Alligator mississippiensis: one gene and its partners. The protein of the gene in region 2 purifies or fractionates together with the protein of the main gene of each other region. This does not show direct contact. Links are inferred from orthologs where the notes say so. Each region holds a gene or a part of one and is shown on either strand. Other genes may lie near its edges. The genes, in order: RPLP0, LARP7, TUT1 and PURB.

What was found.
Region 1: the proteins of LARP7 (region 2) and RPLP0 purify together in Homo sapiens (affinity purification with mass spectrometry; 3 studies listed by BioGRID and IntAct, with this or other methods). This does not show direct contact. The link is inferred for Alligator mississippiensis from reciprocal best matches to the Homo sapiens genes LARP7 and RPLP0.
Region 3: the proteins of LARP7 (region 2) and TUT1 purify together in Homo sapiens (affinity purification with mass spectrometry; 4 studies listed by BioGRID and IntAct, with this or other methods). This does not show direct contact. The link is inferred for Alligator mississippiensis from reciprocal best matches to the Homo sapiens genes LARP7 and TUT1.
Region 4: the proteins of LARP7 (region 2) and PURB purify together in Homo sapiens (affinity purification with mass spectrometry; 3 studies listed by BioGRID and IntAct, with this or other methods). This does not show direct contact. The link is inferred for Alligator mississippiensis from reciprocal best matches to the Homo sapiens genes LARP7 and PURB.

What each region holds. Positions count from the first base shown.
Region 1 is NC_081833.1:21,250,256-21,258,209, reverse strand, and holds the start of RPLP0 (large ribosomal subunit protein uL10), read right to left. Parts: upstream 3,002-7,954; 5' UTR 2,927-3,001; intron 2,518-2,926; 5' UTR 2,469-2,517; coding exon 2,415-2,468; intron 1,824-2,414; coding exon 1,648-1,823; intron 1,544-1,647; coding exon 1,456-1,543; intron 1,132-1,455; coding exon 985-1,131; intron 637-984; coding exon 451-636; intron 38-450; coding exon 1-37.
Region 2 is NC_081825.1:125,983,094-125,990,106, reverse strand, and holds the start of LARP7 (la-related protein 7), read left to right. Parts: upstream 1-3,996; 5' UTR 3,997-4,090; intron 4,091-7,013. Other genes in the region: protein ZGRF1, read right to left, coding at 351-407, 522-602, 713-733. UniProt on the Homo sapiens protein: RNA-binding protein that specifically binds distinct small nuclear RNA (snRNAs) and regulates their processing and function.
Region 3 is NC_081838.1:3,241,958-3,249,077, forward strand, and holds the start of TUT1 (speckle targeted PIP5K1A-regulated poly(A) polymerase), read left to right. Parts: upstream 1-4,109; 5' UTR 4,110-5,664; coding exon 5,665-6,073; intron 6,074-6,341; coding exon 6,342-6,532; intron 6,533-6,617; coding exon 6,618-6,827; intron 6,828-7,120. Other genes in the region: metastasis-associated protein MTA2, read left to right, coding at 210-438, 770-859, 2,760-2,914, 3,230-3,378, 3,548-3,710. UniProt on the Homo sapiens protein: Poly(A) polymerase that creates the 3'-poly(A) tail of specific pre-mRNAs. Localizes to nuclear speckles together with PIP5K1A and mediates polyadenylation of a select set of mRNAs, such as HMOX1.
Region 4 is NC_081830.1:10,716,143-10,723,497, forward strand, and holds the start of PURB (transcriptional activator protein Pur-beta), read right to left. Parts: upstream 3,000-7,355; coding exon 2,010-2,999; 3' UTR 1-2,009. Other genes in the region: cytochrome c oxidase subunit 5B, mitochondrial, read right to left, coding at 4,963-5,075, 5,270-5,369, 5,458-5,528, 5,628-5,736; protein FAM178B, read left to right, coding at 6,441-6,677, 6,767-6,836, 6,973-7,238. UniProt on the Homo sapiens protein: Transcriptional regulator which can act as an activator or a repressor.

The DNA of each region.
Region 1 (7,954 bases), on a different chromosome or scaffold from region 2:
CAATTTGCAGACAAACGCTTGCAACGTTACGAACACCCTGAGGAAGGGGAAAAGAAGAACTTGTGTTTCTAAGCATTCAAAAAAAGTAGTCAGAACCCCAAACCCATTTCCAAGTGTGTGTTCTCCGTTTCCTCTGAATTTTACATGTAGCACAAGGAGAGCAAATAGGGTCAGAACACAGCATCCCTCTGGGAAGAAACTCATCTCAACTCCTATCATCTTTTCTAGGTGATTCTGTTGCAGACTCCAAGGAGAAGCAAGAATAGGGTCTCAATGAGACTGCCCTGGTTATTCAGGACTGGGAGGTGTTCACTTTTGGATGATACTTGTTCCAATAGGAAAAGATAAGCCTGCCCAGTCCAGCTTTAGACGAGATATCCTAGTGGCTACTCCTGTGCTCTCTGTGGTCTAGACCAAGCATGGCATGCAGCACAGGCAAGCAGCTCTTACTTCCAGGAAGCGGTTGTGCAGAGTTTCCTCAGTGATGTCCAGCACTTCTGGATTGTAAATGCTGCCATTGTCAAACACCTGCTGGATAACCAGCCCAAAGGAGAATGGGGAGATGTTCAACATGTTCAGCAAGGTGGCTTCACTGGCACCCACTTTGTCTCCAGTCTTGATCAGCTGCACGTCGCTCTGAGGAACAAGGAAAAGTAAGCAACCAGCTGCAGGGAAAACCAGACACAGAGGTAGTAGTTCAAGTACACAGTACTGAAGGCTACAAGTGGGACTGAAAGACTTGCACCAAGAATGCTGAAAGAAAACAAGCTCAGTGCTCGGCTGTGATCTATAAATACAGCAGCAGCCTGTGCAGCAAACGGCGCGTTTTTAAAACAACATCTAGTACCAGCCTGGCAAACCAGGTGTGTACACCAGAGCATTTCACACAGGAAGCACATCTGTGCTGTGCAAGACCCTCACACCTCACCACAGGAAAGCTAGACCCTGTTTGCTAGCAGCTACTAAACACTGCTTTGCACTCACCAGGATTTCAATGGTACCCCTGGAGATCTTTGTGGTGATGCCCAGAGCCTGGAAGAAGGAGGTCTTCTCAGGACCCAGACCAGTGTTCTGAGCTGGCACAGTGACATCACAGGGGGCAATGGCACCGGCACGAGCTGCCGCTGGCACCTAGAACCAGGTAACAGGGACAAAAAGCAAAATAATGCTTATCTCAGAAAGAAATGCAGGGTATTAACTCCTCACACAGCTCCTGAGAGACCGACATTGCCCAATTATATACAAGACAAACGGAGACAAAAATACATAAAACTAGAGTCAGTTATCTAGCAACAACACCAGAAGCAGACCCCAAAAGGCAACGAGTCTGCGCCCCTTCCGGCTTTCTAAACTAAGATTCATCATGAACATCCCATACTGAGCTCAGGTCAGACCCTAGACCTCCAGGACTAGGGGTGCTACAAAGGGGGTTGCTACAACACCCTCCACCTTTACCTTGTTAGCCAACAGCATGTCTCGGATCTCAGTCAGATCCTCCTTGGTGAACACAAAGCCCACGTTTCCACGGATGTGAGGCAGCAACCTGAAGGAGATACAAAAAAACACTGTTTGGTTTCACTCTTTCCAACAAACTCCTCCCTGCCTGGGAAACAGAAGCCAGGTGTGGAACAGGACAGTTTTACTCACTTTTCCAGAGCAGGATTGTTCTCCAGGTGACCCCGGATAGCTTTGCGCATCATGGTGTTCTTCCCCATCAGCACAACAGCCTTCCCACGCAGGGACATGCGGATCTGCTGCATCTGTTTGGATCCAACGTTGTCTGCTCCCACAATGAAGCATTTTGGATAATCATCCAGTAGTTGCTACAGAGAGAACAGAAGCAAATTAGGCAAAGAAATCCAGACCAAGCTGCTGAACAATGGCATGGCCCAGATAAAGCACACGTGAAGTTTGTGCTTGCGGCTGTATGTTGGTGAAACCCGTTTTAACTCCATGAGGGACCGACACCTGGATGACGCTACCCTTGCTAGACGTGTGGCTCTAGCGAGGAGCTGCAGTTGCCATTACAGTCACATATTTCAGAGCACGCCGCATCGCACAACCAAACTGCACTCAGCTGGAAAGCAGGTGGCGTGGACAGGGCTCCTGTGCAGCATTTTTCTTGCACGCAAGCTGGACTTTCCCCCTCAACACAAGCGCTTTCTTTCCAGGGACCCCACACAGCCTCTTACAGCCGTGTAGCTTGACCTCAGTAGCTGCTCCGCACAGCAGCATCAGCCAAGTCCCCCAGGAGACCGACTGCCGTGTGTACCCAGCTGGCACGGAGCAGCTTTATGAGACGGGGGTCAGATCCACGTCGGCTGGAGCAGCGCCTGCAGCGCTGCTGCCCGGCCACACGCAGCAGGGCCTCAGCGCCCAGCCCCGCGCACAACCAGTAGCTGCCGGGCACTTACGATGATTTTCAGGAAATAGTTGGACTTCCACGTGGCTCGGTCTTCCCTGGGCATCGTGCCGGTGCCAAGGATTGCCGCGGACGGTTTAAAGACGAGGCGAGGCCTGCGGGAGGAAGCAGCAGCGCACACTCAGTGCTCGCTCCGGGCACACGAGCACCGCCGGGCCCGCGCCCAACACAGCCCACGCCGCCGGCATCGGCGGAGAAAGAAAATAATGGGGGGGCGGGGTGACCGCGGGCGCATGCGCGCACCCCCTCCCTGCCGCAGTAAAGTCTGCGAGGGAAAGGACTGGGGGAGGGGCAAGAGCCGTGCGGGGGATCGGAGGCCTCCCCGCCCCTGGGGCCCGGAGCGGAGCCAGCCTCGGCCGGAGCCCCCGGGGCTCCCAGGCCCACCCCACCAGGCCAGACCCTACACAGCCGGCATGTGGGGGCGGCCCCAGCCTTCCGCCGCCCATGCCCAGAGCCCGCGGGTGTGGCCGCCACCGCCCGGCCCCGGCCGCTCCACGCTCCCACCTCCACGCGAGCTACGGAAAGAAAGAGCGGGCGGTGGTCCCTCCTCCTCCTTTTGTATGCCGAGTCTCAGCCAATCGGCGACGGCCAGCGAAGGACGGGGCGCCTTGCCGCCCATTGGCCACGACGGGTGTCGATAACGGGGACGAGTCGGGCTCGCCCCTGCTATTGGGCAGAAGGCTTGTCGCTCGTGAGGAAAGCACAGGCTTTTAAAGGAGCCGCAACAGCGGACGGGCCGCTGCCTACAGCTAGGGCGCCCCCTGCTGGAGGGGACTCTCCGAGGCGCCAGAGCACTGTCACTGCCTCGAGGTCCGTGTCACACCCGACCCCGGGGCCGAGGCCCACCGGGGAGTCACCCTGTAGCAGCCCTGATGCAGCAGGGAACACACAAGGCGCCCCAGTGGGACGAGGGCACCATGCCCGTAGGCTCCCCTTGAACGGGGACCAGCAGGTGGGAGCAGCACAGGCCCCTGCCTGAGTCCACCAAGGGCAGATCCACGGGGTTTGGCTGGAGGGCTCAGCACTTGCGCACACGCCAGCTCCTGTTGCCAGGAACCGCCTGTGGTCTGAGAGGAAGAAATGATTCTTTCGAGAGAAATAAGGCGATGTGCATGGAAATGGGCAGAGCGGTGAGAGACCCAGCTGCGATGGCTGGACGACCACCACCCAGCAGGAACCTGAGTGGCTGGTGCTGTTTTTCCTCTAGGAACATGACCAGAATTGTTTGTGATCAGACCATTTTAAGACCAAGACTGTTCTTCCAATGATGAGGCTCAGCATAGCTGCAAAATGACTTACGTTCTGACAAACAACGTAGATCCCAGTTATTGCACACAGCGTGCCTGCCAGGGAGAATCCCAATGTTTATTCCTGTGTGTACATCACCATACCAGAAATGTATGTAGTGCTTTGATTTTCCAATGGAGTCTGATCCCAATCTCTCTTCACACTAGCATAATTTAGGAGATGCTCTATGCCATGCAGTGAATAGAGTTAATGTTGGCATAAGCCTAGTGTGAGACCAGAATTAGGCCCATGGTTGTGACCACGTAACGAATAAACTTGTTCAAGGCTAAACCACAAGTCAGGGGCAAAGCCAGGAACTGAGCTCACACACCCAAGGATCCAAGGCTTGCAGCAGGACAGTAACTTTCCAGGTGCTTCTGGCTCTCCACTGTCCAGCCTCCTACACTGAAACCAAATATTTGAGGAATGCACTAGAACAGAGGGTCCCAATCTGTGGTACAGGTACCACCAGTGGTATGCAGGCAACCTGTCAGTGGTATGAGTTAACATTCATTATAATTCCTTTATATGACAAAAATCTGCTGGTGGTACTTAAAGCTGAACTGAAAAATTTACTGGCGGTATTTAAGTTTGTATCATTTTAAACTGGTGTGCAATCTGTCAGAGTTTGGGAACCACTGCACTAGAACCTACCCACAGGATAAAACGCCCCTGCTGCAACACACATGTTAAGGCAGAGAAGACATTTATGATTTGTAGGATGTAGATGTAGGGAGGCAAAGACATCCTGCATAGCAGGAGGATGGTGATCCTTCCTCAGTGCTCTGTTGTTGTTACTCTATTAAACCCAGCAACTGAGGCAGATCTAAGTATTTGATCAGATGGATGTTGGTTCAGTAGAGGAACTGCTCGTGGTACAGTACTCTCTCTGGTTTGTTGCAGAAAATAAACCCATTATATGCTTCAACAAGAGAGCAGCTCAGCCAGGAATGCAGAGTGTTTATTTGCTGTTTCTCTTCGAGGGGGTGTTCCTGGTGGTTCCAATCAGCCTCCCAAAGCTGGACCGAGATTTCATTTGGTCATAAGCACCAGGCAATAGAGCCGATTTTACAGGGAGTCCTTGCCGTTTCCCATTCTGAAAGGGCTCATTTGCACCAGAGAGTTGTGTAAGTTTAACTAGAGATAGCATCTTTAACCCTGTGCCAAAGGCTGACTGGCTGCTCAGGTTTAGCTTCAGATCAATAAGGAAGGGATTTAATCCAAACCCAAATATGCTGCTCTTAACCCCAAGAAGCGTAAGGGCAGGGGAATGTACTGATTTTAAAAACTCATTTACAATGCACTATTTTCCATGTAGACAAGGCCAAAGGCTTCTTTCAGCCCAGATGATTCCATAGTACTTCAGTGTAATAAAGACATGGCATCACTGTAAGCAGTGAGTTCCTTGTAGGGAGAAAGAGGGAAGGGCATATATCTTGGCCAAAACAATTGGAACAAATCATAAATCTTACAACAAAGTCAAAGTTCTTACATGTCTGCACAGGAGATGGCTCATCACTTCCTAATGGTCCCTGCAGAAGGCACACAGTGAGCCATGCATATTCATCTCACCACTCCCACAAGATGAAGGGTTAGCTGAAGGGCTGTGGTTCCAGCAGCTAAAATATGTTTCAAGCCTGAAGCCCAGTCTCAGAAATCAGACCCTGTGACTCCAAAAATGCTTTTTATAGGATTTATATGATAGTTACACAAGTCTCCCCTTTGCCAAACATGTGCCTCTTTCTGAACCCTGTGTGAGAATCAAAGTGAGGATTATGCCACATGAAACCCAGCCCAGTGAGGGGTTAGTAGCTCCAAGGGGAAGAGGAGATGCTTCACACCCTTCTAATGCTTCCATCCAATTTAGCAGTTCTGTCAATGGGCTCTAGAGGGAGTGATGAGACCAGGCTTTCCCCAAAGCTCCAGGCTCCCTCCCCTCCTCCCCACTTATCACAAGGAAAGGGGGCACTGGGCTTGCAATCCTCGGTGTGGCAGGTGAGAGCCATCACCCGGACAGGATGTGGGTGAAAGGACGTTCACCACACACTCACTACAAATCTGAGGGTGTTCTCTGGGACCCATGTTCACTGACCTCCATAGAATCATACAAAAGTTGTGCTTCTAGTGGCTTCAAAAGGACATCCTTCACCACTCCCTACTCGAGGAAAGGTCATTCATTCCCATCTGAACCATCCCACAAAAAAACATCTGTTTAACCTGCACCAATGACAGAGGTTCTCCCTGGGCCACTTGCTCCATCCAGGGCTCAAGCAGTGTCAGTTAGAAAGTTCTTCCTTTATCGCCTCTGTTGCAATTTAAGCAGATTTGTGCTCAACAGTTCTTTTCATATTTGAAATCCCTCCTCAATCTTCTCCGAACTAAATAATCCCAATTCTTCCAAGCTTTCCTTATGCTACGTTTTCTAGACCTCTAATCTTTTCTGTTGTTCTCCTCTGAACTCTGTCCAATTTGTCCATCTCTTTCTTAAAATGTGATGCCCAAAACTGGACACAGTACTTGACAAGTGAGGCCTCACCAATGCTGAACAGAGTGGAAGAATGATACTCCAGTTAAGATTGCTTAGTATGCTGTTGGCAGTTTTTGTGACAATATTACGCTCTTGATTCATAGTTTTTAATTCACTCCAACTCTCAACCTCCTTATACGTAGTATTGCAGCCCAGCTAGCCATGCCCCTTCCATCTCTGTGTTCAAGGCTCTGCACTATGTAAAGGAAGCCATAACCCACCTACCAGGCAGTCTATGAGAAAAAGAACATCCCTGGATTTATACTACAATACCCACCATATCACGTATGCCTTGAAAAGATTCACTCAGATGCTTCCTGCAAATGGGCTCAGAGAAGATGGTTGGATACTAGTGAAAAGTTCATCTCATGCCATTCTCAGTACAGAATGCTGTATAGTTTTGCTTTCAGCAAAAACTGGAGGGTAGCTTGGAGCTTCCTGCCTTCCTGGAAGGCCCAGCTGATGTCAACATCCCTTTTCTTCACAGCTCTCACTCAGGCAGCAACATAATGAAAGGTAGACAAGGAAGGCCCAGTTCTTCAGCTTGGGTGGTTCCACCAAGGGTCAGTACTCAGGACTCAAGTTACTTCTGGAGTCAGTACCTCTACCGGACCCAGAGCAAGAAGCTGCATAGCTCACCCTTGATAGGATGAAGGGAGCTCTGTACTTGGAAGTGGGAACAAAGTCAGAAAGCAGAAAGTGTTACTGAAAACTATTTGTGATTTACAGTAGGTCACTGAAAATCTATAGTAATCTTTTGTTTAGTGCCTGTGAGAAGAACTGGTGAGTCTTAATCAAGTATCCATAGGCAGCAGGTATTCATGTCACAACATTCACCTCATGACAACTGTAGTGCTTCTCCCATGGGCAGTGGCATCAGGGAAGCCAAGAAACAAATGGAAAACAGAAGACTAAACAATGCAAATTTCTCTCTGACCAAAAAGGTTGCTCCTACTCAGACTGCTTGTATAATGGAGTTTGCAACCCTCTATATTAAATACAACAGTGAAGTAATCTCTCTACCTAGAATCCTAGGCCAGGAGGAAATGGCTAGTGCAAATAAATAAATAGAGAAGCTAGCTTTTTTTTTTTTATACATTAAAAAAAAAAGAAGAAACCTTATTCCACAACCCAGAGTCCAGACACACATGCCAACAGGAACAAGCTGGGTGGTTTGTGGTCTGAGGCTATGCTAAACCAAAACAGCAGTATATTAAGCAACACATTTAATGAGAAAATAGCGTATGAACAGGGTCAAGTACTGGTACTCAGAAAACTGCACTCTGCCTTCCATGTAGTCGTAAGTTCTAACTCATGGACTTTAAACACTTACAGAAAACCTTTGGATTTCCTGCATATAATGCACGCAGTGTCAACAGCCAAGGATTAACTAACTTGGGAGCATTTTAATCGTAGGCATTACTGTGTCTGGGCTATTGTCTGCCACCCAGAAGCTGCTGGTACACTGTGATTCCGACTTGGGAATTTTAATAACTTAGCTCAGGTTGCAGACTATAAAGGCCACTTCATTTTCTTCATATCCTCTACTCAGAGATCTGGAGAAGTGATTAAACCAGTTCCTCTTAGGGCAAACTGGGAGTTAACTCAAGCCTCCATAAGAGGGGGTGGAGATTTATTCTTTATTAAAAACAGCTTTCCCGTGAGCTCAAGTTCTCTGAATTATTTGTGCATACTATTGTGTGCAGGGTCATATTCAA
Region 2 (7,013 bases):
TATCTGCCACTTCCTGTCTCCTGCCCAATCTCCTGCATGCCACACAAAGAGGCTGTCTGTGCCAGTTTTGCAGGTTGGCCACTCCTGCACTATACAGTACAATGATACTTGCTATCCACAAAAAGCACATTTATTAGACGTTATCCGCTGTAGTGAAAATCTGCTACTATAATGCTTTATACTTTGTTAGATCAAAAATATGCTACATCTGACCATTTATAATCCTGTATTTGTAACAACTTCTAAAATCAGAATATATTAGACAAAATAGTAGGACAGGGAACTTTAGACTGTGCAAAGATGAATAGTGGTCCCAACAAAGACTAAAGTTTTTAGTGTTAAAAATATACCTGAGTTTTGACAAATATGCTCTCCAAACATTGTCCTTTGTCATCAAATAAGGTCGCCTGCATTGAAACATAGTGAAATGTTAAACAATCAAATTACTGCATTTCAAAGAGCAGAGTGGATTTGGTAGACTCAGAGAATATATCATACTGTATTAAACTTGAACTCTTCACCTTACTTCCTCCAGTGCTGGTCTTCAAAACCCCATCTTGCCATACTTTTGATTTCTTGGTCTTCTGATGAGTGTATAAGACCTTTTGAATAAAATTGTGATAATTACTGAAATGATAATTTATAGTGGTTGTTGCACAAACACAAGAAATATTTAACTGAATTTTATATATTGTTAATAAAAAACACTTACAGTAAACTCTTGACAAGTCATTGCTTTGGATGGCTTTGCTTCATCAAAGGTCTACATTGCAACTTTTCACTCTCTCATGCTACCTAGGAGACAAATATCTTTTTTAGAAGACATCAGCAAATAATCTAATTTACAGAGGTGCAAAGCACCATTCATTTTAACTCAGTTGATACCTCTGAAAATGTAGCCATTAATTTTTACAAAGCACTTTGAAAATTAGAAGCTTTATCGTATTAACATAATCTTCATGCACACTGGCAATAAGAACTTAGGTTACCTCAAAAGGTATGATTTTCAGAAAATGTAGAATGCCCACTGTCTGAAAAATCCTTTTTTGTTTGCTTGTTTTGTTTTTACACATAACAAGTTGGCCCATTAAAATTTAAGCTGCTGACCCCCCCCCCCCCCCCAGTTAGCCAGTCAACAAAGAACAACATTTTATAAAAATATAATGATCTGTGTCTATGTTCAAAGGGTTGGACTTTCATTGAAACTATTGTCAGTTTTATTAGCTACTGGCACTATGATGAAAATCGACCACAGGGAAATAGCTAGTACTGGCACATGCTCCCAAACTACTTGCAATCTCTGGCTGCCTCTACAGACATCAATATGAATGAATGAAAAAGTATTTAAAAGTAATCATACATAAGAAAAGGAATATGGAAAGCCAAGAAATATTGGACAGCTGTAGAAATTATAGGAAACTACATGATAGCCAGCCTAATAAAAATATAGTTGGATCGATAATACAGATACTATATTTTAACTTTGAAGCACCATACCAGTAGTTACCAAACTGTGGTTCATGGGTGAAACCAATTAGTACACTCCAGCAGGCTCAATTAAATCAAGCCTGCTCCAAAATGCTATAATTACAGCACATTGAAGCAGCATCCCTGCGCATCTACAGACACCCTAGGACTCTGCAATGCTGTGGCTAAAATCTGTCATTCTGTTCCTGGGATCCACACTGATTCAACATTGTAAAAATAAATGTCATTGTTGTAGAACAGTTTCTAGTCAAATACAACTGATTTATGGTATTAGAGATGAGAGAGATTCATGGCAATGAGTCTCAAACTGTGCAATTGGTTTCATTACTTTATTAAGCAAAAAAAAAAAAAAAAAAAAAAAAAAAAAAAAAAAAAAAAATCTTCAAATGCTCAAATTCTACAACTTACCACCAGAGGGCTTTCCTGTTTCCCATATTTTTCGCTATCAGTCTTGGTTCAGCTGTATAGAAAAATCATGTTTCCAGTTGTGTAAATGCTAGTTCCCACAGAAAAGGCAGATTCTACAGTTTATCATCATTTTTGTGCTAGTGCTAGAAGAGGATTCTGGACTTCCAGCATTAAATAAAGCCATTTACATAAACATGTTACTCAAGAGAAGAGTAGTTTTCAGATTTTTTTTTTTACCTCTTCTTTAATAACAAAATGGAACTAGAACAATACTGGGAATTATAGAAGCAGTCATGCAAACTCAATGGAAACAAGTTTAAGGCAGGCTGAATAATAGGGGCACCAATACAGACTCTGTTTTCCCCTGGTTCATTGACTATTAAAAGAACATAACTGCAGCTGCTAAAATTGTAAATGACATCAAATTGGCTGTTCTTGTTCTATCATTAAATATTAAAACAACATCACCTAATTTTCACAAACAACCTTGAAATATTTTCAACAACAAAGGAAGAAAGAAATTAAAGGGGAAGCCAAAGAAAAAGAATCAACTTTCATCTTTTTTTTTTTTTGGACTGGGACTAACTGAAAGGATCAGTACCACTTCAAAGTTCTTCTAATGCTAACAGGTTACGAAAGATCAAAATAAGTCTGTTTCCCCATCACTCCTTTTATTACAAGGATTGTTTAACAGTCCCTCTCTTTCACATCATTTAAAGCAGAGGCAGGCAATTATTTGGGCTGAAAGGCCACATGTGAAGTTTTGTGAGCTGTTGAGGCCTGGGAGGAGAGGGGAGGAAAGGGGAGAGGGAGCCAGGGAGATGCCAATTGATCCTATCCACACTGCTAGCTACTGCTGGAAGCCTGAGGGAGCGTTGTGCCCCACACCACTCCACTCTGCCACAGCCAGGACCTGGCTGGGCCAGACAGTGTGCAGATTCCTCCAACACTCCCCTGCCCCACCATCCTGTTGGTACTGTGCAATCCTGGCACTGCAACAACTGTCAGCCTGGTCCACATGGGACAAGGCATGATGCAGCACGCTGAGTAGTTGTACCACCCACCCACCCACCCACCATGATGAGCTGCTGCAGCCGTGCCACATTGTAAAATGTTGGGGGTGACAGCCCTGAGTCAAGCGGGGGTCGTACCCAACTTTGGGGGCTTGGCTTTTTTTATTATTATTAATACATTTCATGTTCCAGGTCAAATCAACCAGATCAGTTCCACATCATACTACTGAGCAGAACTCAATCATTCCAAAATCCATATCGACCGAGCAAGCAGGACGCAGTCCCAGGCTTTCACCCTGGGACTTCAGACACTCCCAAATCCACTGGCAGGCATCCTACCTGCAGGCCCAAGAGATGCCCCTGCTTCACTTTAGCCCACAAGAGGCCAACTTCTGGGTTTGCTGTCAGTGTTTTCTTTTGCCTGCTTGCCTTGAAATAAAGAAATGCTTCGACTCTGACCCAGGTCTCACTCACACACTGGCGATTAGTGAGCAACATAAATTTAAAAAGATGGGTTATTGGCATATTTATTTGCAGATTTCTCAGGGTACGATCGCTTTTCAACAAACAAACACGATCGTTCTGAGCTTCCCATGCGGGTACTTTCATATTTAAGGTGTGGCAACGCTGCGTTCAGGTAACCAGGCGGGGACGGGACGCGGGCCCGAGGCCGGCTCGGCTCGGCTCGGCTCGGCTCGGCTCGGCTCCAGCCCCAGCCCCAGCCCCAGCCCCAGCCCGCCCCAACCTACCCCACCTCCCGCCCCCAGGCAGTAACATGGAGACAAGCGAAGGGAAGGTGCGTACCCACCTCACGGAGGGACCAAGTGACCGCCGGACCCTTTCAACTTTGAAGCTTTCCCGCGCCAGCTGCCGATGACGTTGTTCCTCTGCGCCGGCACAGAAGGCCCCCGGCTGCCCAAGCTTCGCCTGACGGGAAAGGGGAACAGGACCAAGCCGCTTCCTTGTCGGCCCCTGGCAACCGGCGTGCGCGTAATACGTCACGAGAGCGCCCCTCGCTGATTGGCCTGGCCCCGGAGCTTTCGCTCTGAGACTCGAGCGTCGCGTTGATTGTGACGTGACGGCGGGGCGGAACGGCGGAGCGCTGGAGGAGGCGCGGAGGGTTGTGGCCGCGGGGCGCCCGCGTGACGCTGCCAGAAGCCCCGAGCGGCCGGCGTTGGCAGGTCAGTGCCGCTGGGGGGGAGGGGCGGGCGAGAGCTACCGCGGCGCTTGGAAGGGGAATGCTGTGACGTCAGGGCCTTGTCATGGGGGAGGGGGCGGGGCCTGTAGCAGCTTGCGCGCGAACTCCGCGTGTCGCAGAGCCGCGTCCTGGCTGTTGTGGGGGGTCCTGCTCCGGTGGGGTCGTGTGCAAAGGCTGTGTCCGCGCATGTGTTAGCGGTTCCCTCCAGCATGTGCGCTGCCCCCAGGCCCCGCTTTGCCCTGGCCGTCGTGCTGTGGGCTGAAGGGGGCTTGGTGTTCCTGCCCACACTCATGCAGCTCCCTCTTACTTGTTAGTGGGAAGAAGTCAGGCCCTCCTCAGCTGACACTGACCCCATTGGCCCAGCATCTGACGGGCAAGACGTGTATACACACGTGTGCATGCACCTATCTATAGATATCTACCTTCAATACTACCAAGCGGCCCCTGTGGTTCACTTGGCAGGTCAAATCACACTAAAAACGTGTTACACAGTTCACACCATGCATCCATTTCCATACCTGAACCCCCACCCACTGCCCTCCTCAGAGGGCCTGCCCCTGAAAAAGTCTATGCCAGGCCCCTCTCCACCAGATAATCTGTCGTTTCTTTCCCATCCTCTTCTGTCTTCCTGTAGTACCACTTCTCCCCTCCGGCCCCATGGTTCCCGTTCAGGACGGTCTGTTCCTGAGTTTATCGCCCCGCAGGGCCCTACCCAAAATTGTGAACCTTCTCCCATTAGCCAACCCGTGGGCTAGTCCAAGAAAGTCTGCACTATATCTGCCTACATTTGTGAAGCTCCTCCCATCATGGAATCAGAAAATTAGGGTTGGAGGGGATCTCAGGAGGTCATGTAGTCCAATGCCCTAGATCAGGTGCTACCCAGGAAACTACCTAGTTGCATCAGTGTGCTCTTGGAAATAAGCGTGTTCTCACATTGAGGTGACAGGTTCATAGCTGACATTTGATATTTGCTCCCATTTTCTCTTCCTACTCCCTTGAACATCACCCTTTCTGAGGTGCTATTTCAAGGCTGAAGCGGAATGGGAATCGGAGAGGACAGCAGTACATGGGCTGAAATGTCAAGCTGCCATTGAAGGTCCATGATCACTAAGTGATATGCTGTCCCTAGGCTTTTAAAAATAAATCATTATATATCACTAAACTCATTAATGTTCAAATGGATGGCCCTCATTACAGTCCTGAACAAAAAAATATGGATTAATACACAACAGACCTTTCACAGGGCATGAAATGCTGAGTGATTAACACCTTGTACTGCAGAGACTATTTGTTTTGTTTTCTTTATTTGTTCTTTCTTATGCATCTGAGGTTACTGTTCTTTATGAAACAAAATCTAGAAGTCCTTTGCCCCTGTCAAAAATGATTTTCTATTTGCTTTTTTAAACTGTCAGGGAGGCCTATGCTTTCTCTTTAGGGAGATCTCTTTGGGAGACAAACTGAAGAAACAGGAGGCTGAAACTTAAGATCAGGTCTTACAGACATCAGCATAACTTAAACTTGCTAACTGTGCTATGCTACAATTTCAAGTACTTGAACACAACCTCTCAAAGTTACATTTACTTTTGCTTTTGGTATGAAGTGCTATGTACGTGTGCATATGTGAACAAAATTAAATTTTATTTTGTAAGCAGTAGTTACATTTTAACACTGAAGCTGTTGCTCATCTCATCTGTTTATGTTTGTTAAAATGGAGCTTTTGTTACAATTTTCCTTAATACCATTCGGAACATTTTTGCAGTCATGAATTAAACATAAATCCAAAGCACTAAAGCTCTCTTAAATCATCTTCAAAAATACAAATGTACGTGTTTATAAAAATATGCTGTCAAAATTTGCTTTACCTGTGGCAGGTTAGGTACAGGCTGATGTTGTGTCAGGGTTGAGGCTAGTCTTATGTAAAGTTTAGATTTATGGTTGTATGGAATGTTTTGGATAGGGATGATCCTGCCTCAGGCAGGGAGTTGGACTAGATCAGTGGTTCTCAAACCTTTTTTGTACCAGGACCCATTTGTAAACATTGATGGCCAGTCCTAGCCCAGTGTCCCTCACTCCTGACCCACTGCCCCCAAGCCCCCAGTGTATGGGGCAAGAGCTGGGGAATGGAGGATAGGGGGCCCCAAGCAGTCCCTTGCAGGCTGGAACTCTGACAGCCTGCAAGGGAGAAGCCACGGTTTTCCAAGTTTTTCTCCTTTAAAGGAGAATCCATTTTTTAAAGTTTTTTTTCGTGACCCTTTCATATATTCTTGTGACCCATAGGTTGAGAAATGCTGGACTAGAGGACCCTTCCAGCCCCGCTTCTCTATGATTCTATGACCAAAAGAATGTTCAGCATTGCAAAAAAAAAAGATAGGGTCAATGAGCTAGGGGGGAAAATCAGAATAAACTTATTCTGCCTCAACTTAAATATTACTTTAGAAGATAAAGAAATTTAAAAATAGCAAGTTCATTTATAAACCCTAGCAGTAATGTGTGAGCTAGTGTGGATGTCAGAGGCAAATAAGGCCATAAATCAATACAAGCAAGACAGTTATGTTTATAAGTTTAAGATACAGATTTTTAAAGACCAAACTTTTAAAGATTAAACTACAAATTCAAATGTTATTTCCTTCTTAAGGGGTTTTTGCTTGTAGCTGTGTTGGTCTAAAAAGAGTGACTGCACCCAAAAGCTTGCTAAGAACTTTTTTCCAACTACTCAGTTGGTCTAATAAAAGATATCACATCTACTCAAAGAACCTTGCCTGCCTATTTCCTTCTTAAGACATGTGAAAGTTGTATATTCACCAAGGTAATGGACAGCCATCCAAGTAAATGGTTTAGATCCCTTACAGTGAATTTTGTCAGGGAGTTCAGGAACGTACTTCCTGTAATAGATGTTACCTGTGTAA
Region 3 (7,120 bases), on a different chromosome or scaffold from region 2:
CCCCTGACTTCCCCCTGGGGTCTGGGCCTTCTTTCTCTCTTCCCCCATAGCCCTTTTGTGGGGGAAAGAGGATTCCCGAGAGCCAGCTGTGGCTCTTCTTGGAGGAGGGGAGCCCTGGTCTTCACCCCCTTGGTTGCATCTGGGCTATGTTTGGGGGGCAGGGGTCTCCAGGAGCCAGCCCTGATCTCCCCCACCCCCTTGGTCGGCAGGAGCCACACTCACGGGGCCACTTGTCACGGCCAGAGGCGCAGAGCCTGTCACCCTACACGACCAGCGCGAGCCGAGCCAAGCTGCTGGCCAAGAACAGACAGACCTTCCTGCTGCAGACTACGAAGCTGACCCGCCTGGCACGCCGCGTCTGCCGCGACATCCTGCAGCCCCGGCGTGCCGCCCGCCGCCCCTATGCTCCCATCAATGCTAATGCTATCAAGGCTGAGTGTGCGTAGGAGCCGGGCAAGGTCAGGGGTGGGGGGGGCTCAAGGAGTGTAGGGCAGGTGAGGGAGACTGCCATGCCCATGAATGCCAGTGCTATCAAGGCTGAGTGTGTGCGCCAGGGGAAGTATGTGATAGCCCAGGATAGGGCAGGGGGGTGCATGTGCCTGGGAGTGGGGATGGGGCGGTATGTGTGTGTGGGAGGTGAGAGAGTGCCTGGGGCAGGGGTAGGGACATGTGCTTGGGGGGGCAGGGTGTAAGCAAGCCTGGGTAGTGGTGTGACTGTCCACTGTACCCCCCCTGCCTGATACCTGGTCCCTGCCCCTCCCCTCTGCAGGCTCCATTCGCCTCCCCAAGGCAGCCAAGACACCCCTGAAGATCCACCCGCTGGCACGGCTGCCCCTGGCCACTATTGTCAAGGAGCTGGGTAAGGCTGGTGTGTGTGGGGCAAGGTGGGAGGCCTCTGTGTGCTAGGGTCCCTGAGCATCTATGGGGGATGTTCTCTGCCATCGGTATCCATAGCAGGGACTCCAACCCCCTTGCACAGAGACAGATAGGCCCAGCGCCATCCCTCAGCCCCCGCCCTGCCTGTCTTGGGGATGGGGAGGGGTCCAGAGCAGCTGGTGGACTGGAGTGGGACTGAATAGGCCCTGAATGGGAACTGAATAGGCTCCTGCCCAGGTAGGTCAGGGTGTGTTTGCTGCCTCCCGGCAGGTGTCAACAAGGAGCACAGGGCCATGGTCCTGTCCCGTTGTTGCGCCGCGGTCCCCCCCCTTCCATCCCAGGCAATGAGAAGGAAGGGAGCTCTGGGACCTCATGGTAAAGCCCCGCTGTTTCCTTCCCGGCTCTGGGAAAATTCTGGCATGATTTGGCAGACAGAAGAACAGCAGCTCAGAGGAAACTCTTCCCCCCCTCCCTCCACCCCCGTTCTGTTCAGCAGCTAGGGGTAGATCTGTTCTGCATGGATTTGTTTGTGCCCCTGGCTCCGTTCTCTGCCTCCATCAGCTTCTGTGGCTACGAATTCCATGTGGGAATGGGGTGCTAAGTAAAGAAGCCCTTCTCTTGTGAGTTTTAACCCTGCTCACGTCAGTGGGTGCCCTGAGATCTTATACCTGGGACTTGGTGACCAACAGCTCAGTTCCCTTGGTCCACACCTGTCATGACATGATAGACCTGTTCTGCCACCCCTCAACCTTCTCCACACTGAGTTGTCCTGGCCTTTTGAGTCCCTCCTGCTCTGGTCATAGCTCCAGGCCTCTCATCATGGTAGTTGCCCTTCTCTGGACCGTGGCAATGCTCTGTGCAGGAGCGGGGGTTGTGGAATAATGTGCCCTAAGCACAGGTGAGGGCAGCTTGGAGATGCACGCTCGGGCTGAGGAGGGACCTGGCTGATGCCCACTGCTCCTAAAACATGGGCAGAAATGACAGAAGCGTTGCATGCAGTGATGGGCTCTACATGAGCTGTCACCACACAGGAAAGAGACCTGGGAGCCACCATGGGCAGCTGGTTATAAACATCAGCTCAGGGCTCTGGAACGCTGCCCGGTGCTGATCCCTGCACCTCCAAAAGGATAGAGAAGTCCAGAGAAGGGCAGCAAGGCTGACTAGTGATCTGGAAGGGCTTCTCTAGGAGGAGAGGCTAACAAGGCCAGACCTGGTCAGTGTAGAAGAGAGATGCTTGGGTGGAAAAAATGAAGAGTTTATAAATCACTGATTGGGGAAGATGAAGTCATGAGGAATCACAGGGAAACTAGCAGGCTGCCAATTTAGGACCAATACCGGGAAGTTTTTTCTCACTTGTGGGGCTTGTTGCCCCAGGTGTGGGGGAAGCTGGGAGTTCAGCCTGATTCCTCAAGGGACCAGGCATGTCCTTGGAGGAAAGGGGCATGAGTCACTATGGAGCACGGGCATGAAGGGCACGGTCTCTGAATCGGAACATCCTGGACCTTTCATGCTGGACGCTGCGCGTAGGAGAGGAACAGGAAAACCCTGCTCGGACCTAGTCACTCTGTTCCCTGCCACTGGGGGACACGGGAGACTGGGCCAGACAGAGCTAAGGTCTGACCCCGTCTGGCAGAGCATATGCTCTTCTGTATCTCCGGAGCCAGCAGGCACCTCTCGGCCACCTCCTGCTCTGAGACGGGGCCCGGACATGGCCCCGGACTTCTGGCTTCCCCACAGCCAATGCCACCAACTTGGCTTGGGAGTCAGGGGTAGGGCTGGGAACGGGGCACTGGTTGGACCTGGCCTGGCACCTCTTTACTGTCATGTCACTGGGAGGCCTCCACAGGGGTTCTTACAGCCCCCTTTTTTCTTCCTCTACCCAGCGGCCCAGGCCCCGCTGAAGCCCAAGACGCCGCGTGGCACCAAGACACCCATCAACCGGAACCAGATGAGCCAGAGCCGGGGCCTGGCTGGCATCGTGGGCAAGAGGGCCTACGAGGGGGCCAGTGACGCGCACCGCGTGGCCCGGGTACGCAAGGTGGGGGGGCTTTGTCAGGCATCGGGGGGCGCGGGGGGCTGTAGAGGGGTGGGGGCTTGAGGGGGAAATCATAGTGGGGGAAGTGGGGGGAATCGTAGTGGGGGAAGGGCTACCTGGCAATGGAGCAGGGACTGGGAGGGGGTTGCCAGCAGCAGGGTGGGAGGTTCTGGGGTGGGATGGGGAGGGAGTAGTGGGGGCTTTCCTGGTACAGCTGGGGTAGGGGGCTGGGGCAGGATTGGGGGCCAGGGCTGGACTGGGGAGCCAGGGCACAGCTGAGCTTCCCTTCTTCCTACCCCCCCCACGTGGGCGGCGCAGGTGGTGGGGGGTGGCGTCCCCTTCTCAGCCAACGGGCGGCCCCTGAGCTCAGGGCTCCGGGCCAGCGCGCAGCCGGCCGCCAAGCGCCAGAAGCTCAACCCAGCTGATGCCCCCAACCCTGTCGTCTTTGTTGCCACCAAGGACACCAGGTACTGGGGGGTGGGGGTCTGGGAGAGGGGGCTCCAGAGCAGGCTGGAGCCTGGGCCTGCTGTGGGGGGCAGGTGGGAGGACACCAGGGCTGCCCCCAGGGTCTGGGGGTACCCACCTCCCCCCCACTTGTGACCATACTCCCCCCCACCTTCCCCTCCCCCCCTACAGGGCACTGCGCAAAGCCCTGACCCACCTGGAGATGCGGCGAGCTGCCCGCCGGCCCAACCTGCCCCTCAAGATCAAGGCCACACGCCCCACAGTTGCCCCCCTGGCGCCCGTGCCCCCTGCCCGGCCCGCCAGCACCACGGAGCCCATCGTCCTGGAGGACTGAGCCGGGAGGGGGGGGGCCTTTCCTTTTTATATTTTTTTATTTCCATGTATGCTCCCACAACGTGGCTGGGGGGGCCGGGGCCCAGCCTTGGAGGGCGGAGGGGGGGGTCCGGGCCTCTGGGGCTGCCCCCTTCAATGCAGCTACTTCCTGTCTGTGTGACCTACCCCCCCCTTCCCCCCAGGGCCAGAGGGGAGGGCGCCTGCCCGCCCTTCTCTCTCCTCCCCGGGGTGTTTTTGTACCTCGCCCTGTAACCAGTTCTTATAGTGACCAACCGGGAAATAAAACGACACCTTTTCTTCACCCTTTGCCACTGCTGTGGTTTGGGGGGGGTGTTACAATCTCCTTTATGGGGGGAGAGCCAGGCACAGACATACAGCTGCAATCAAGGCCCATGGAGGGGTTTATTGCACAGAGAATGCAGTCAGACCACAACTCTGGGGTCTCTCCATACCCCCTCCTCCCAGTGCCAAGGGCCTGGAGGTGCCTCGTTCCCTGGGGCAGCTCTAGCCTTGCTCCCCTGCCCTGGGTGGAGCTTGTTGGGGTAGCTCCCCACCCCCACACTACTGCACTGGCGCAAGGGCTATGACCCCCATGTCTGGGGGCTCCTGTCCCTCAGCTCCTGGTGGCAGAAGAAGCTGTCGATGAGCTGCTGGCGCTGGCACAGCCCCTCGGGGCAGGGGGGGCAGTGGAAAGGGTTTGAGGGGGATGTGCCTTGGGGGGCCTGCCCTGGAAGCGAGGGTAGGGACAGCCCCTGAGCCACAGCCACGTTGTGCAGGATGCAGCAGGCGAGGAAGATGCTGAAGACCTTTGGGGGCATGTACTGCAGCCCCCCCCGGCCCACCCTAGCGTGCTAGGCACTGGAACTGCCCCTTCAGCCCTCCCCACAGCAGCCCGGGCGGCCACGTGATAGTGCTGCTCCGCTGCTGAACACTGGGCCTCCGCTGGCACCAGCAGCCAGGGCTGCAGTAGGTAGGGTAGCAAATCATACTGTCACCTGCGGAGAGCACGTGCGATGGGGTTAGGGTTCGTAGAGCGTAAGACTGGAAGGGACCTCAGAAGATCGTTGGGTCCGGCCCCCTGCACCAAGCAGGGAAGATAACGGGGGTCAGGTGCCCCAGCAGGGTGACTCCAGTCTTCTCTTGAAGAGGTCCAGGGTGGGGGGTTGCAGTGGGGGCCCCGCCTGTGAAGCAGGCAGTAGGCGTGGTCCCAGTTGGCTCAGGGGGGTGGGGACAGGGCAGGGGCCCAATCCAGGCAGGCCCCGGGGTAAGACAGGGCAGGGGCCCTGCTCCTGGAACAGCCCCATCTGGCTGGAGGGAAAAACAAGGCAGGGACCTGGGAATGCACCTGCTCAGGAGGGGATCCCGAGCTGGCTCAGGCAGGGTATCGCAGGGCAGGGCCCCCGGCATGCCCCCAACCCTCCCCAAGCTGTCTCCCAGCAAAGCCCCCATAACAGGAGCTTCTACCCTGCCACCGGCGCTAGGCCTCGGCGCGGGGAGGGTCTCCCGGCCTCGCCTAGGAGTCCTTTCCCATCCACTGGTGGGAGGGACGGCGGCCTGGCCCTGCTCTGGCACGCAGAGCCCACGGCCCCCTACAAGGGGTGCGGGGCACAGCAGGGTGCCTGAGGTGCCTGGGGCTCGCCCGGCAGCCACCCGCCCCGTCGTGGTGCCCCTCGAAGGGGGGGAGGCCATGGGTGTCCGGCGGCTTCAGGGCCACGTGGGTGCAGCCCAGGGCTCCCCGCACGCCGCGTCGGGAAGCAGACAAAGGCGACGGGCGAGGGCGGCCGTGTCCTGGGACACGCTGGCCTGGCTGGTGCCCGCATCTGCCCCGGCCCCTGCCCGGTAGGTGCCCACGGTGTGGAAGGCGAGGGCGGCCGCCACCTTGACGCCTGCGGGCAGCGCGTGGCCCAGGTCGGCCGCCACGGCTCAGGGGCCAGGGGGACAGCAGGTACAGTGCAATGGAGGCCGGAAGTGGGGGTGCGGTGTTCTCTCTGTCCTTCCCTCCCTCCCTCCCTCCTCTGTGCTCCGGGCGGGCTCCTCGGGGCCGGGATGGGAAGGAGCGGGGGGCACGTTGGCGGGACGGACCATTTCCTGTGGCCCGGGAACGAAGAGTCCTAGGCAGGGCGGGTGGAGTTGAGGGAGCCCTATCGGGGACGGACCACTTCCGGCAGGGAAGGCGCGGGAAACACGACTGTCGGGGGACGCCTATCGCGGACGGGCTACTTCCGGCGGGGAGCGGCTTCCGGGGGAATCTCAGGGACGGACACTTCCGGCCGCGCGGAACCCGCGCCGGAATGGAGCCGGATGTGGAGGCGCTGCCCCGCGGGGGCTTCCGCTGCCGCCTCTGCCACGTGACCGCCGCCAACCGTGAGCGGGGGGCGGGGTTAGTGGGGGGAGGTCAGGGGTCACCACGTGGGGGGTCAGAGGTCACCACGTGGGTCAGGGCGGGGCTGAAACGCTGGCCTGACCTCTGACCTGTAGGGTCAGACTGAGCCCCCCAACCTTTGGCTGCTGACCTCACCCCCTTGCGTCAGAGCACCTTACCTTAGACCCAGGCAGTGACCCCTGACCTCGCTCCCCCTCCCCTGACCCTTGCCCTGTGCCCCTCCCCTGACCCTTGCCCTGCCCCCGGCAGGGCCCAGCCTGGACGACCACCTGCGGGGCCGCAAGCACGGGCGGCTGGCGGGGCTGCGGGCCCAGCGCCAGGCCCAGGCGCAGCGCAGCGTCTTCGTCAGCGGCTTCCGCAAGGGCACGGACGTGGCCGAGCTCAGCGACTACTTCCAGGCCTTTGGCGGCGTGGCCAGCGTGGTCATGGACAAGGACAAGGTCAGTCCCGGCGCTGGGGGGGGGAGCGGGCAGCCCTCCTCCTGCCCCGCCGGCCCTGATGGCTTCCCTGCGCTGTTCCCCGCAGGGCGTCTACGCCATCGTGGAGCTGGAGGACCAGGCGGCACTGGAAAAGGTCCTGGCCCAGCCTCAGCACAGCGTGGGGGGGCAGCGGCTGCGGGTGAAGCCTCGGGAGCAGAAGGAGTTTGCCTACGCACCCCCCAAGCGGCAGGGGGGCGCCCGCCGCGAGCTGCTGAGTCCCGAGAAGCTGGAGCAGGAGCTGTGCCAGGCCGAGGACGTGAGTGTGTGCTGGGAAAAGGGGACGCGGGGGTCCGTGGTCTCTGCCCCCGGCTGACGTCCTCTTTCTCCAACGTAAGGCTGTAACCTCTGCCGTGGACTTCGGGCGCTAGGTCTGCCTGGCCTGGGCTCCCGGGTCCCCCAGATGGAGGGAGAGCGGCCGGGTGTGAGCAGGGCGTCCCTCTCCCACAGGGAGCCTTCAGCACCGAGGCTCCAGGAGGGTCTGATTCAGAGTAGGAATGTGAACCATTAAGTGATTAATCACTTAACCGATCGGCGCATGATAAATGGTTT
Region 4 (7,355 bases), on a different chromosome or scaffold from region 2:
CCTCCCCCCCCAAAATAATAAGGGGAAGATGGACACCAGGGTCTGCATGAAATTAAAAAGGCAGCTCAAATCAAGAGGACGGGCATGCAGCTAAGAAAAAAAACAAAAACAAACAACTGATATAGCCTACGGTGTCTCACAAGGAATACCCGAAACTTTGGAATGAACAGTGTCGCTTGCCATTCAGTTCCAAGTGACTAGGATACGAACACGCGGCGAAAATACCTTGGCTTTTCTATCTTTCTCTTGGCAGAGGGGGGGGAGGCGAGTGACTGGACTGAGCTAAAGAAAAAAAAAAAAGTGAAAAATCCAGTTAAAAGCTAAGGAGGAGGGATTCTTGCCCAGCTCCCTCCCAACCCCTCACCCCTCTTGCAGCTCAGCTCCAGGATCGGACTTGCTGGCTTCAGCTGAGATCTCAAGGTGGTTGGGAAATCCAATGCCGCCAGGGCGTTTCAAGAGTCACATAGTGGAGCTGGGGGCTTCGGCCGCCGTGAGCAAAGTCCCGCCGGCTGCCCCTCAGGCGTGTGGTTGTTGCTGATACAATGTGCTGTGAGGTACTGAGAGATCTGGGGGGACTGGGCTGGAACCTTTGCCTTTGCTCTCCACTCTCCAACCCCAGCTGGAAGGCCACATCCTTGCTGATTTCCCTACAACCCCTCCCCCCCCAGGAGCCAGTTGGCTCCGATTTCTTCCAGCCATTTCTCTTCAGAGACAACCTTATTTGGAGAGAAAAGAGGGGGGTGCAACTTCCCCCCAGCCCCCTCTCTCTTCCCCTAGCTGCCTTGTGCTTCGTGCCCGATTTTTTGTCTTCAATTTACCCTCTCTTTGCAGCCCTGTGTTGAAGGTGTTGGGATAGATATTCAAGGGAAGAAAAGGATCCAAATAAAGAAAGAAGGGTCCTTTAGCTCTGGAGAGAACTGGCAGGTTTCTCTGAGAATAGGCTGCTTGAGAGGGGTGCTGGAGAATAGGGGTCCAGTATGGAAACCAGCCATTCAGCAAAGGAAACCAAGATCAGCCAGGACATTGGTCCAAAAAGAGAGAAATCAACCCACCCCCGGTTTCCCCCTATACTAGGTTCATCCCTCGCTAGATGCCCCTCAACCTCTCCTCTGTGCCCCTGTCTTCTGCCCCCTCTGGTTGATTTCTAAGTGGAGGGTGATGCCCCCCATCACCACCCGTCTTTCTTTGGGTAGCGGCAGCAGCCTGGATGCTGGTTTCATTGGTGGAGCAGGCAGCATCTCCAACGGATGCAGGGTGGTGGTGGGGGGATCCATACGACACCCCCACTTCTCAGGGCCCTGAAGATATGGGAGGTTCCCAGCTTGCCTCAAGATGATGGGGGTCATGGCAGGTCTTCCAGGCTGGTAGAGCTCTGATGGGGAGTGGGGAAGAGTCCTCCGGTCCAGCAGGATTCCCCCAGTCCAGCGGAGCTCTGATGAGGGCACTAGCAGGCCTCCCAGTCTGGCAGGGCTCCGATGCGGGAGAGCTGGCAGGTCCTGCAGTCCAGTGAAGTTTCCAGGGAGACTTGCAGAACTCTGGAGGGAAGGTGAGGTGGTCTCTCAGCCTAGCAGATTTCCAAGGGGATCCCCCACTCTGGCATGGCTCCAGGGGAATCCCCCAATCTGGTAAGGGTCTTGGGGCACTGGCAAGCTCTCTGAGAGGAGAGGGATCCCACACTCCGGCAGGGCTCCAGAGGGATCCCCCAGTCTGGCAGAGCTTGCCCACTCCAGCAGGGCTCTGGGGGAGTCCTGAAGTGCAGGGAAGCTCTCGGGGGCGGCTGGCAGGACACCCCTCCAATGGGGAGGATCCCACACTCCAGCAGGGCTCTGGCAGGATCCCTCAGGCCAGCGAGACACTTGGGGGCGCTGACAGAGCTCTGATGGGGGGATCCCCCAGTCCAGCAGGGCTCCGGTGGGATCCCCCAGTCCAGTGAGGCTTGTGGGGGCATAGGTGCTGGCAGGGCTTGGGGTGGGGGGGGTCCATCCTCTCTCGGGGGCACCTAGCGGGGCTCAATCGTCATCCACATCATCCGCCTCCGAGTCGTCACCAGCACCACTCCCGCTGCCGGGCCCTGGAGGCCCCGCTCCTCCGCCAACTCCCCCAGTGCCCGGCCGGCGGTCATACAGCTTGTCGCGCTGGCGCTCCTGGATGTCGCGCATCTCATCAGCATAGCGGCAGAAGGCACCACCGAACTTGGCCCAAGCCTTGTAGGGCACGGTGATGGCGTTGCGGTAGGCTGGCTTGACCTCGCTGACACGCAGGAAAACACCATACTTGTTGCAGCCCACGTCAAAGAAGAAGCGCTTGGAGTCCACGGTGATGGACGTGCCCTCAGGCAGCTCTCCACTGCCTGCCCCCGCGCCGCCACCCAGCGCCAGCCCTGGCTCATCGTCCTCGGCCCCGTAGTCGTCCAGCAGCTTGGCCAAGGCATCGCGGAACTCGATGAGGCCCTGCGCGGGCAGCGCGATGGTCTGGCCACTCTGCAGGCCAGAGGCGCCCGCAAAGGCCCCGGGGCCGCGGTTGAGGGTCTGGCGGATGCGCAGGAAGCGGCCACGCTGGTTCTCCTTCAGGTCCAGGTAGTACTTGCGGTTCTCCCGCACCAGGAACTCGCTCTTGAGCGCGCGGCGCGGCGGCTCGTCGGGCGGCGAGGCCGAGCTGGCGCCGGCTGGAGGCAGAGGGTCGGCGGGGCTGGGCCCCAACTGCGCGTAGTGCTCGATGAAGTCGCCCAGCGCGTCACGTAGTTCAGCCGCCACGGCCATGGACAGCGTGAGGCGGCTCTTGGCCCCGCCGGCGCCCACCTCGGCGATCTTGAGGAAGCGGCCCTTGGCGTTCTGCTTCACGTCCAAGTAGAACCGCTTGTTCTGGATATCCAGCCGCTTGGACGCCAGCTCCTGAGTCTCCTGCTCCGCCCGCCCCGGGCCCGGCCCCGCGCCGCCGCCACCGCCGCCGCCTCCCCCGGCTCCACCGCCGCGCTCGCTGCCGCTGTCCCCGTCCGCCATCTTCCCGCCCCGGCCCCGCTGCCTCCCGCTTCCGGCCCCGCCCCGTGACGTCACCCGCCCTGCCCCGCCCAAGAGCGAGGCTAGCTCCGCCCACGGGCTAGCTGCCCCCAAGGGGTGGCCGCCGGGCGTGCCCCGCCCCCCTGCCCGTGATGTCACCAGGCGGGAGACTGATGCACCTCCTAGGGGCGGAGACAAAGCAGGCCACAACCCCTGGGGTGGAAGCGAGGCTGGCCCCGCCCACGAGAGAGGGAGGTGCGCCCTAGGGCTGGCACCGTTTGGCCACGCCCCCGGTGATGTCACCAGGCTGGACCCGCTCAAGGCAGAGGGCCGCGGCTGTGAGCCTGGTCCCGCCTCTAGACACGCCCACAACAGTCGCAGGAGCCCCCCCCGGTAGCCACGCCTCCATGGCTGTCAGTCAGCTGGACCCCGCCCAAGGCTCTCACTGCGCTGTCACTCAGGCCCAAGCCCCGCCCATCGGCTCCTTGCCCCTCCCCTTCCCCAGCAGACCCCGCCCCCGGGACAGCCAGGGCAGCCCCCCCTGCCGCGCCCGCCAGTACCAGGAGGCTTCGGGAGCAGCTGGTCTGTGGGTACATGGGGTGGGGGCACCGTGTGGGGGATTGTGGGTAATGCCGGAGATTGGCGGGACAGGTGCCAGGGGCAGCAGGCAGGTCTGGGAATCCCCGGCATCCAGCATGGGGTGGGGGGAATCCATGGCCACCTGTTTGCCCTACAGCACTCCAGAGGCCTGGCATCCAATTGTTGAAATGGGGAGCAAACCCACAGGTCTTGGTCTAGCTCAGCATCATGGCCCCTGCTGCTCACAGGGCCCCATATCCCCCAGGGCAGCATTACCACCAGTACAAGGGTACCCAGATGAATCTTAGGGTGCCAATCACTCTGAAGCATTATAGGCCCAATGCTGCTTCCAATGAAGTTTGCAGGAAAATTCCTGTTCTCCCTCCCCCCATGCAGCCTGTTTATTCCTTTTACTCATTAACCCCCTTCAGCCCCAGCCAGAACTGATGTGGGGGGCAGGTAGCTTCCCTCCACAGCCCCAAAAAGCTCCTCTGGGCTGGGAAAGCTTGGGTGTGGCCCAGCCCAGCTCCCTGCCTCAGTCTCCCCTGGCACCTTCCCTCTCGTATCACCCACAAGGGCCAGGCTGGTGGCCTACCCATGGAATGCTACCGAGCCAGGCTGTTCTACTTGGGCATCTGCTCCTCCCCAGAGGTAGCTGCATTTTCCCCGGATTTGGCCCCCAGTGGCAGCAGAGGGTGCAGGAGAGTATGGAACTCAAGTACCTGGGCAGTGGGCATGATTCTTGGGGGCTTGGGCCTGGACAGGCAGGGCTGGCATGCAAGTGGTTAATGCAGGGCTGGCATGCAAGTGGTTAATGCAGGGCTGGCACCCCCCTCCCTTCCCACCAGTCTTTGCTGCCCTCTGGAGGTTAATACAAGCAGTGCCACTCGTGCTATCCCCAAAGTTTGAAGGCAGGTTGAGCTCTCCCTACCATGCATCTGGAGGGCATCTCCTCCCCCCTACATAACAAGAACTCACCCCCCAGGCAACATGCACAGGCCTTGGGTAGAAGCCAAGCTCTCCCTCCCCATCATACCTGGGACCTTGTTCCCCTTCCCAGAGCAGTAACCCGTGCCACGCTGGGCTGGGACTGCTGGCTCATCCGAGGCTGCTACTACTCCCAGCACCCCCACACCACATGGGGCCAGTCCTTTGCACCGCTCCCCCAACATAACACAAATCCAGGGTCCCTGCCCCAGGCTGAGGCTCTCCTGAGGTGCAACGAGCGTAGAGGCACGACTCTAGAGAAGGCAGATACACCTTCATCCTTTGGCCCCAGGCAATGAAGAATACAGTGCAAAATAGGAGACAGTCACAACTTTATTGTTCTCCCAGAATCAAACATAGGGGCAAATAGAGTAGAGCAGGTCAGGGCAGGGCAAGGAGCTCAATGGGGCACCTCATGAGGCACCAGCTTGTAGTAGGCCCCACAGGATGGGCAGCGCTGTGGCTCACCTTTGTGCAGCCAGAACCAGATGATGGCACTGTTGTCCTCTTCACCTGCCAGGAGAGAGTGAGATCAGGGTCACAGCCAGAACATTTCCCCTCCCACCCTCAGCTGCTAGGGGTGAGACAGAGCAGGACAAAGGGCTACTTCTGCCCCCTAACCCCCAGCTCCAGCAGAGCCCTTGTTTTCACCTCCACCCCAGGCTCTTCCCCTAGCACGTCCCCACTACACCTGCCCGGACACTCACAGATGCAGCCGACAATCCGCTTTTCATTGACAGATGGCACCAGGGTGGGGTGCTCCCGGGTCCCCCCCTGGCTCTTGGGTGGGAACATGCTGTACGGGTCCTGAAGAGAGGAAGGCGAGGGCATCAGCACCTACCAGGGCCCCCAGAGCCCCCCATGCCTGGTCCCAGTCCCCGCCCCCCGTGCTCACCGTTCCCTTCTTGACAGCCTCCAGCACCTTCCGCTCCAGCCCGGTTGCCTGCTCCTCGTCGGTGGGGACGCCTACAGGGCGTGCAGGGAACCACCGCGTCAGTCAGCCAGGCCCGCCCCCCGCCCTTGCCCCGGACGCCTGTGTCCTCCACGCTCCCCGGCCCCCCTCACCTCCGGCGGCGGTGCGGGCGGGCGCAGCAAGGCGCAGGACGAGCGCGGGCGAGTGGCGGGCGCCCAGGGCGCGGAGGGCGCCGTATGCGCGCAGAAACCGGGCTGCCATAACGTCCAACAGAGACTACACCAGGCCGCTTGACGACTGCGGCTACTTCCGGGGACAGCGCCGGAAGCGGGGCGGTACTTCCGCTGAAGCGCCCGGCGGGAATTGGCCGCTCCGCGCCACGTGGCCAGAGAGGCTGGGGGTAGACGGGGGCGGGGTCTCCGTGAGCCCGGCGAGGGGGTGACCTTGGGTTTCTGCCGGCGACTGCCACCTGCTGGCCGGGGGTGGGTTTCCAGAGGACCGCCCTGCGTGCTCTGATTGGGTGCGTTTGACGGGGCAGGTGCGGCCTCTGATTGGTCCGGCTGGCGGGGTTGCTGATTGGGCGTCGCGCGGAGGGGAGCGTTGGGCAGGCGGCGGTTGGGATTCGGAAGGCGCGGAGCACGTGGCAGCGGGAGCGGTGGGGCTTTGGCTCCGCCCACAAGGGCAGAGGTCGGGGGGCGACGACCCCCAGCTGGGGATGGCGCCCAGGCGCCCGGCTCCAAGCACTCCCCTGCTCTGACCACTAAACCCTACTGCCTTGCCACGTGTGACGTCACGGGGGCATCGTGTGACGTCAGGGGGACAGTGGTGTGGTCACAGCGAGTGCTTGCTTCCCCACGCAGGCCCCAGCTCCCAGGAAAAAACCATCCTGGAGGCTTCACCCCCTGCATCAAGTGCCAAGACACTGTTTCTCCCCGCTCCAGGCCCCAGTTCTTCCCCCTGGCACCATGGCCCAGCAGGCGGTGGTGGCCCCAGTGCCCACCCCAGAGCTGCCCATCCTGGGGGGCCTGCGCTGGTACCAGATCCCACTGTCCTCGCTGCGGGCGCCCAGCACGGGCCTCTTCAGCCGCCGCTTTCAGGACAGCCTGCAGCGCTACCGCCAGCTGCGCCTCACCAAGCGCCTGCGTGTCGGCCGCCCCTACGCTCTGCTCGGGGACCCCGACCCGGCCTCCCCGCCCGCCCAGGTGAGCCCTTTGCCCCTGGGGCAAGTAGGGACAGTCCTGGGGTAGATCAGCTCCCTTCTTGTGCCCACCTGACCCTGCTGGGCCCACAGGATAGCAGGAGCCAGCGACCTAGAGGCAGTAGAGCCCGGAGCAGCCTGGGCCTTGCCCCATGCCGAGCAGGTAACACCAGACCCCTCCAGGTCCACCGTCGGGCATCAGCCCTCTCTGCCCCCATTACTCCTACCCCCTGGCACAGCACCAGGCTCTGCTGAGGAGAGCAGGAGCCATCCAGTGACTGTCCTCCTGCCCTCTGAAGCCTCCAGGCACTGGCGCGGCTCCAGGGCCCCCCACCGGAAGTCCAAGAGGATGCCGCATCTGCCACAGGGCACCAACACCAGCCCTGATGAGGCCTTCCCAGCTGACTGGAGCCCTGTGCAGCTGGACTTCCTTTGCCAGGCTGGTATGGTGTCCCCCAGCCAGGATACGGCTGGATCTGGGGAGAAGCAGGACGATGAGGAAGAGCTGTTGCCCCTGGCGCAGCTGCTGGGGGGAGCAGCACGGATCCTCCCGGAGCCTGGCATGGTGAGTGTCAGGTCAAGGGCATCACTAAGGGGTTGATGCGTATTGCTGGGCACATTCCTGCCCCCAGGAAGTGTCCAGCAGTGCCTTGAGGGGTGGGGGTGGGGGGGCACAGTGCCC